Linked DNA regions of Coturnix japonica. The protein of the gene in region 1 binds, or shares a complex with, the protein of each later gene. Links are inferred from orthologs where the notes say so. Each region holds a gene or a part of one and is shown on either strand. Other genes may lie near its edges. The genes, in order: TNKS and USP25.

Region 1 (4,298 bases):
TTTTTGGTAGTTTGCATTGGAAAGTAAATGAATAAAAGAAACATACAAATACATTTACACTTCCACTTCACCTCTTTTTTCTATTTTTAAGTCAATTATTTGCAAGTCTTTAGTATTTGTTTTTCATTCATCTCTAAGCTCACCTCTTGAAAGAGGCTCACAATTTCAAGACAGTAAGTCTTTTAAAGTAAGTGGCTACAGAAATTGAAGTTCTCACTTTTTCCTAAGTCTATGCATGTGCTAAGAACCCTAAATGTTCCCAAAGCCACCCCCCCCTTTTACCTTCCTCCTGCCATGAGAAAGATGATAGGAGTGATTCAGAAAAAAGAACCCTCTGAAAGTTTAAGGAAACCTTGAGAAACAGCATTAAACTAGAACTAAAGCAGCCCTGTCCTCTAACAGTAAAAACAACTCAGCTGCCTCAAATTGTTGCCAAAAAGGGAGTCTGAGAAAACAAGACTTCCCCTTAGCTAAGTTCCCAGGAAAAGATAATAAACAACAACAAAGAAGAATCCAGCTGCTCTAAAAAGACACAAACAACAACAGCAACAAACAGGAAAAATGAAGATTTACCAGCTACTAAAATAATTCTTCTGCCACAACCCACAGAAACAGAAGTGAAATTCTATTTTTGCCTTAAGAGTTTAGCTTCAAGAGCTTTGGAAGACGGATACAGCACGGTTTAACTCCTATTCCCTTATAAATGCCACGTAATTTCTATTTAGATACGTCTCCTAAAACAACAGCTATTATTCACAACGTAGCTTAATATACACAGCAGACTCCTGTGCTTATAAGGCCATGGGAAATCCAATCAACGCTGCATCATGAGCAAATATGCACTGCCCGAGACACTCTGCATTTAACAACATCCATGCAGACTTTTCCAAAACAAAAGACTTCAAGATATCAATACTAAGAAGCCTCCCTAACGCTTTCTACATGCCAAATCCTTTTGAATCAGATATACTCATTTATTTGATGGGAAACATGTACCACAGCTAAGGACGATCTCCAAATCCGGAGACGGAGACAACAGATGTCCGCCAGATATAAGAACCTGACTCACTGTTTTCCTCATGTTGTAAGGAAGTATCTTTCATTACTGTTACAGTAACACCCCATGGATACCATCACCTTTCAAAGCCTTATCTAAAGTTTTGTCTGCTTTCTTTCTAATCAAAGTAGAAACCACCACTGCAACTTTAGCACCACACTCTACACTAGCCCTGAAGTTACAACCTGAGATCCTGAAGTTTAAAGGGACATACCAAGGTGTTATTACAAGCCTGAATCCAAAATAAGCAGTGCAGTCTCAAGATTCGTCTTGAAAACATCAAGCACTTCACATGCACAAGTGCACCACATAAATACTGACCACTCATCAGTCCTGTTAATTACTTTATTTGTGCATAATAGAGCACTGCTTAAAGATATCAGACAAGATATCAACACTATGGCACATATCAGAAAGCTCCGTCCAACCACAGACCTAGTATCTCCCATTTTATTTCTATCATAGAATTAATTCACCCCGCGCCCCCCTCCCATGAAGGCTAGTCCCTGTAACATTTGTTCTCATTATAAACTACGCTCACTTATGACAGTTGTGCTTGCTAAGAGGCAATCATAGAATCATTACAGAACAGCTTGGGTTGGAAGGGATCTTAAAGCCCACCCAGTCCCAACCCCTGTTGTAGGCTGGTTCTACCCCACCAGATGGAGGCTGCCCAGGGCTTCATGCAGCCTGGCCTTCAGCACCTCCAAGGACAGAGCACTGGTTACTTCTTAAGGTCACCTGTTGAATCTCACTGTCAGCTTGTTTCACAATATAATTTTTCATGTGCAATCTCTTCCCTGCATTGATGCACAGCATCTCCTGAGCACGTGTGCGACTACCTAACCAAGTTCAATTGTTCCACTTCATCACTGAGCACTCAGTCTGGTTTGAGTGAGGAGTGGAAACACCAACTAGAAAAAAGAAGTTACAAGTTGCAAGGCTTGTTACGGGTGTCTTTAGCTTTTAAGAGCTACCAGAAAAGAAATCCCTCACTCCCTGAGAACTCCATCCTGAATTCCCTTCTCACTTCCAAACCAAACAAAGTAAAGTTTGAAGGCCACGTGAGGAACACAAAGAAACCTGTCAGTGCCTTTCAGTCACATACAGAAGCTACGCGCTGCCTTGGCATGAGAAATACGGAGCTCGGATAGCTCACATCCCCCCGCACCTTCCGAGCCCCGGCCCTCGAGCTCCATATGGAGCTGCCCCCGCCCCTCTCCCCGCACTCACCGGCGGCGAAGTGGAGCGGCGTGGACTTGCGGCCAGCCATATCCTTGGCGTTGACGTTGCCAGCGTCCACCAGTCGCTTGACGCGCGTCACGTCTCCATTACGACAAGCCTCCAGCAGCTCGCGGAAGGCCCCGCTCGGGCCCGCCGCCTCGGGGCTCTCCGCTGCCGGGCTCGACGCTACCGACGATGACGTGGACGAGGAGGAGGAGGAGGAGGAAGAGGCAGAGCTGCCGGAGCTGCTGCCCGAGCCCTGCGGCGGGCCCGACGCGGCGCCCTCCGAGCACTCTGGGGCCGGAGGCCGCTCGGCGTCGGGGGGAGCCTCGCCCTCGGGCCCGGCCAGGCTGTGGCGCTGCGCGGCCGGGCCGAGCTCGGCCGGCGTGAGGCTGGGGCTGCGCGGCGGAGAGGCGGCGGCGGGCGGCGAGGCCGGCCCGGGGGGCGGCGGGAGCCCGTGATGATGGTGGTGGTGCTGGGAGCGGCGCAGAGGCGCCGCCATCTTCACCCTCCTCCCTCCCCCGCCTCCCTCTCCGCTCCCGTCACTGCGGCAACGGCGGCACCTTCCGCCCGTCTGCGGCCAATGGCGGGGCGCGGCGGCCGGACGTCCCGCGGCGGGGCGGGGAAGGAGGACGGGGAGTGTCCTTATCGCGCCCCGCCCTACGCCGGGCAGCGGCTCCGTGCTGCCCCCTGCCGGGATCCTCTGCCGGCCCAACCCCTATGGGAGGCCCCGCCCCGTCGGAAGGAGGAGCGTCTACTTCCACAGCGAGAGGATGCAGCCCGGCATCCTTCTGGGTGACGCCTGCTGCAGGTCACAGGAGCCTGATCTGGGTTCAGATCTGTAGTGCCCGTGTGGGTGGCTGCCCCCAGTAATGATGCTGCTTTCTCTGTCCTCAGGTGCCTAATGATGCAAATTTGATGCCAGCAATGATTTTCCATGCAGAGATCTCACTTCCTAGAAGCATCATCTTGATTGAAACGTGCTACTTTGATAGCAGGAAACAAAGTCTCGTGGGCATGGTATCACAAGAACAGCTGGGCAATGTGATGGATTGTTCTCTTTTCAGGAGGAACTGAATGTGCTATTTCTGATGTGGGAAGCAGCTCCTGGTGTGCTCAGGGGGCTGCTTCCTCAGTGGTCTTAAAAAAAAACAACACAGAGACAAAATCTGAGTTAGCCCAGATAAAAATACGCTGTCGGGATTGAAGGATGCTCTGAAAACAAGCACAGGCCTGGAAAACAGCTCTGACAGGGACAACGCAGAGACAAAAGGCACCCCAGGATTGTCTCTGATGCTTTGGGCAGCTCCTGAACCCAGCCTGGTGCTGAGTTACCTGCCCGCATCCACGCTTCCTCCCCACCTTTTGTATCGTGTGTTTGGCTTTGCCAGCCAACACCACCAAATTTCCCTTCTCAGGGATGACTTCATGCGGTGTTGAACTGAAACACGGGGAAGGTTTGCTCGGGCTCAGAGCACCTGAGGAAAGGGCTTTGCTCCAGCTCATCACCGATGGGAAAGAAAGATGGCCACCGAACCCGCAGCTTTGCGATGCGCAGATGTAGCAACGGGTGAACGCGGTGATTTAATGCGGTGCTGAGGATCCGGCCAGATGCGGGCGGCGGAGGGAAGGAACAAAGCCCGGCAGGAAGGTGGCGGAGTTGCTCTGAGTAACCGCGGCGCTGCCGGCCCCGCACGGCACGTTAACGGCGGGGCAGGTTCACCCCAGCTGCTGGGCGGAACATCCACCCCCTGCTCGCCGCGGGGCTGACGCTCATCACAAGGCAGGAGGTGGCACACTCGGCCCTGCTCGGCGCCGCTCCCGGCGGGGGCAGCCCTACAGGCGGGCCGTGCCCGTGTCCCGCCCCCGGCGGGGCGGCGGCGGCTACGTGCGCGGGGCGGCGCGGCTGGCGGTGTCGGCGCGGAGCCGCGGTTCGCCCCGAGCCCCGGCCGCGCCCATGGCGAGCAGCAGCGGCGGCAGGTAGGGCGGGCGGGCGGCGCGGTGCCCGCTCCCCGGC
Region 2 (4,555 bases), on another chromosome or scaffold:
TACATCATTTGGCCCCATTACATGGCCCATGGAACACTTATCAGATGAAGGAGAACACCTGCAAGAGAGGCTCTGGTCACATGAGGAAACGTGGGTCCACGGGGCAAATGGCAGGTGAGGCAGCCCAGAGCTCAGCGGATTGTAACACTGAGATTATGAAGGCTGTATGGTTGCTGGGAAGGTCACCATCTATCAAGGTGAAAAACAGTACAACTCTCACATACTTTCTGCATGTACCACATGCCGAGGGGATATTCTCTGAGATCACCTCCTGACATTCAGAACCGAAGAAACATCACTGTTTCTGTTGCTGGAGACACATGACTGCATCACCTTATGTACAGACAACTGCACAACATTAAAAAGTTAGCAACTATTGTTTTCAGCAAAGAAAAGCTGTCACTACTACAGCACTACACTCTTCCAATAAGGACATCAAATAGGTCAAGCACAGCAGAAATACGTACACTAGCTAACAGAGGTTTCTCAATATCCTGAAAAAGAGGAAAAGAAGTGAATTGTATTAGACCTTGCTTAATGCCATGCATTGTTTCTAGTGCTAAATATCCTCAAAGACATGTGCTTCTCCAAAATTTAAAAAAAAATTAAATTAATTAATTAATTTAAGAGCTGATATCTCTAACTTTATTCCTGTGATTAGACTACCAATATAGTGCTGAATCACAGGTCTGAAATAACAGGGGAGTGGAAACAAATATCCTTTTGTTTCAGGGAAAGGAGAGGATTGATGAAGTATGCTTTAAGTCCATGTACACACTAACACTCAGCCCTTCCCCAAAAGCAGTAGAACTCGATGACACACATAGCTGAGACGCCAGCTATCGCCCTCTGAAATCCAGTTTCTCCAATCTGTTGTCACAAGATGACCATCACAGTAATTACGGTTAGGCTGACACACTGCTGAAGCATGTCTGACTTCTCCACATCATTTTTTTTCCCCCCAATTACTAGAAAATTACCTTTTGCCCCACCCCTGCTCTTGTACCCACTGCCTCAGGAACAGGGACCAGAGAAGGGCCTCCACAGCACAAGAGACTCTGCAGCCACATTCAAATTCTCTGGGCTTCATGTGGTAAAAACAGACAGCCTACAAACACCCCACCACACCACAGGATCACACAGGAGCTGAGAGTGACAAGAGTAAAAAGACTGATTATTTGCTCCAGAAGATAAATTACCGCTTTCAATAAGGAGTCAAGATGATCACTCAACATGTAAGAATTTCCTTTGAACTGATCCAAATTCTTTGACTGTACAACAAACTAAAGACAGCTTCAGTGGGAAGTGGGCTGTTTGTACTTGGGGAATTTATTAATAAAAATGTGCATCTCCCAGTACCGCTTAAGTTTGACACATACTTCCTGTACGACAGTAAGAAAACATCTGATGAACAATGTTGGGAACCAGAGTTGTGAATAAGGTATGCCGGTGACTCAGCCATCTCTTGGAAATCCAATATAATTCTGTTTAGATGTGGTCTCCTTGTACTAACAGAAAACAATCACAACAAACTTTGAGGTCTGCAGAACAAACTCTATTTACAGAGCATGGGACCTTCTTCTGAGGGATGATGATGAGCTAGTGGTAATCCCTCCAACCATGCCTCAAGCCACTGTACTTCCATAAATTTTCTTTTTAAAGGAGAATAAACAGTACAGTGTCAAAGTCTTTCACCCAGTTAGCTGCTTGATTGCCTCACTAAATAATGATTGGAGTCTAACACGATTTTTTCCAAGATATTCTTAAGTTTGTCTCTGCCTCCCCCAGAATGCAACTAAGGATGAAGCAGGTAATAAGGAATCCCAGTAAAATAATCACATGGTTCAACAGAAATAAAAAAAAAAAAACAACTGTACTATGAAATAAAGTTTGTAGTTTTATACAGCTTCTGAAGATACTGTAGTAATTTACTTTCATAGAGAAATGTCAGCCTCAGAATTCTTTCTGACTTTAATTCTGTGTATACAGCGCCCGATGACCCGTACGATTCAACCCCCAGCCACTTTTTAAGCTTATTACACACAACTGTAAAGGTGGATTGGAAGGGACCTCTGGAGACCCACCTTTGTCCAAGCCACTGCTAAAGCAGTTCCCCAGAGTAGGTTGCACAGGGAAATGTCCAGGCGGGTTCTGAATATCTCCGGAGAGGGAAACTCTGCCTCCTCTCTGGGCAGCCACTTCCAGTGCTCTGTCCCCCTCACAGTAAAGAAATCCCTGAAACTGTGATCCTCCTGAACTCCTGACCTGTAAGCAATAGTTCATCCATAACGTTTTCCCTGTAGCGCAGCTGATAGACTATGGAGTCCTAGAAGGGTGCAGCGAGGATTATGTAACAGAATGTCCAATACAGTAATTAAGGGATATTTAAGTAAAGCATCAACTATACGTTTTGTGGAAGACCAGCTTCTCAGAAAAGCTGTCAGATAAATACCACCAATGAAGAAATATTCAAATACAGAAAGCACAGCAGAAGCCCGATCAGCAGAAGCCTGGCATGCAGTCTGCTAGCCCTCCTCAACTGAAATCCACATCAACAAAGGAAAGAAGGGACAAAAATGTCCATTCAGCCCTCTTCTTCCTACAGAAGCTGCCAAAATACATGCTCCTAGCTGACAGCAGCCAAGAGATACCTGCCTCGCCCTCCAGGAGAGCTTTGTGAATGCAAGTTGCACCACCTGGACCAATTACATCTTCATCACTGCTTATGAAGTGTAACCATTGCCATTAAACTTCCATCCTGACTATGCCCATGCAGATCTACCTCCATGATCCCACAAAACCAGGACATGCCTTGGAAAAAAAAGAAACACAGCAGGGGAGAGGAGGCAGGTCTGTCCTGTAAGCAGGGCGGGCACACGAGCAAGCAACAGTTACCTTCAGGGGGGAATAGAGAGCCCCGTGCTTAGATTCCGGGATCCTCTTCCCCTTGCCAGTCCCATTTGCTGCAAGCAAAGAACTACAGAGGGTATCCATTTCTGAAGAGCTTTTTCAGCAACTCCCGATCTACATTAAAAGATGTATAACACCGCCACTCGCTCAGCCCTATTTCATAACGTGCATTAACACAGCCCCTAAACACACCGCTTTTCTACTTCAGTAAGAGAGCGTCACGGCCATGTATGTGTCACAGCCCCAAAATAGCTGTCACCTTTCGCACACACTGCTCGGCCTCGGCATGCCAAGCACACGAGCATCCTCCACCCGCACGGAGCGGCGGCCAGGCCCTCCCGCAACCTCGGCACCGCGCTTTTCTCCCTCCTCCCGCAGCCACGAGCGCAACAGGCCCGCACACCCACCCCGGGGCAGCGGTCGGTCGGCTCAGGGCTCACCCCGCAGCCGGCGCTGCGGACAGACCCACGGCGCGGGCCGGACGCAGGCCCGGCTGCAGGCGGGACCACGCTTCCCCGGGTGGGGAAGGCGGCGGCGCGGTTGGCCGTGGCCCTGCAGGGAGCGGAGCGGCCCCGCTTAGGCCCGGGCTCGGCCGGGGGCAGGGGCTCGCGGCGCGCTCGGGGCCGGACAACGCTCTCACCTTGGCGGCGCCGCCGGGCTGCAACACGTTCTGCTCCACCGTCATGGCCCCGCGCGGCTCCCGGCTGCGCCCCGGGCTCGGCGGGCGGGCGGCGGTGGCGGCTGGGCCGGGCCCGGGCTGGGCGAGCGGAGCGGGAGGAGGAGGAGGCGGCGGCGACGGAGGCGGAGGAGGAGGAGGGGCGGGAGGGGGAGCCCGAGTTACCGCCAGGCGGGCGGGCCGCCGAGCCGGGCGGCCGCCATGGGGCAGCGCCGATCGGCACAGGCTCCGCCGTCACTCCCAGCGCGGCCGCCACCGCCCAGCGTGCCCGGAGCGCGGCCTACGCCGCCGGCCCCGCCCTCAGCTCTTCCGCCGCGGTTCCCAGCGGCAGCGCCGCCCCGCGCACCTGCCTCAGCGGAGCCCCGCTGCCCTGCTCGGGCTGGCTGCCCTGCGGTTGCCTAGCGGGACGCACTGCTGGCAGCGCCTGGCTCCATCTTGGTGGCGGAGCCCGCACACGGCCCCGCGGGACGGCCCGGCCCGAGCGGCCTCGTTGCCCGGCCGGGCTCGGCGGTGTCTCCGCCCGGAGTTTGCTCTTTCCCCGGCCCGGTGCTCAGGGAGGCGGGAGCTGCTGCAGCCCGTCGAATGCCCGCGGGAGAACGGGCTCCGTGCGGGACCTGGCGGCAGCGGCACTCACCTGCTCTCTGCGGCTACCCGGGCAGCGACTTCTGTTCTGACACGGGGCCTGAGGATGCACCACGCCTCCCCCATAACTCTTGACCGGGATGGCTGCGAGGTGGCCATAGTCGGTTCGAGGGGTAAATGGGAACAAATGGGAGCTGCTTAGGACGATGTGTGTGTGTCTGTGTGTTGAGATCTGCAAATTATGGCACCTCAGATGAACGGCATTATGGAAAAATAAATACGTAAATAATTTATTTAAGACCAGTTTATGGAGTCAAGAAAATGGCAAGAAGCTGGGTTTGGAGCATCCTTGCAGCCGGGAGAAAGTAAGTCATAGGAAGTGCAGGG

Evidence for each region.
Region 2: the proteins of TNKS (region 1) and USP25 are in contact, whole or in part, in a crystal structure (PDB 5GP7), measured with the Homo sapiens proteins. The link is inferred for Coturnix japonica from reciprocal best matches to the Homo sapiens genes TNKS and USP25. Residues at the interface, in NP_003738.2 of Homo sapiens: Arg836, Ser838, His842, Leu843, Gly846, Tyr847, Leu871, Asn876, Ser879, Tyr880, His882, Asp900, Trp902, Phe904, Glu909, Gln912, Lys913, Gln934, Glu935; in NP_037528.3 of Homo sapiens: Ser1046, Ser1048, Arg1049, Thr1050, Pro1051, Ala1052, Asp1053, Gly1054, Arg1055.

The regions. Positions count from the first base shown.
Region 1 is NC_029519.1:44,128,853-44,133,150, forward strand, and holds the start of TNKS (poly [ADP-ribose] polymerase tankyrase-1), read right to left. Parts: upstream 2,821-4,298; 5' UTR 2,784-2,820; coding exon 2,291-2,783; intron 1-2,290.
Region 2 is NC_029516.1:88,685,130-88,689,684, reverse strand, and holds the start of USP25 (ubiquitin carboxyl-terminal hydrolase 25), read right to left. Parts: upstream 3,045-4,555; 5' UTR 2,995-3,044; coding exon 2,896-2,994; intron 1-2,895. UniProt on the Homo sapiens protein: Deubiquitinating enzyme that hydrolyzes ubiquitin moieties conjugated to substrates and thus, functions in various biological processes including inflammation and immune response.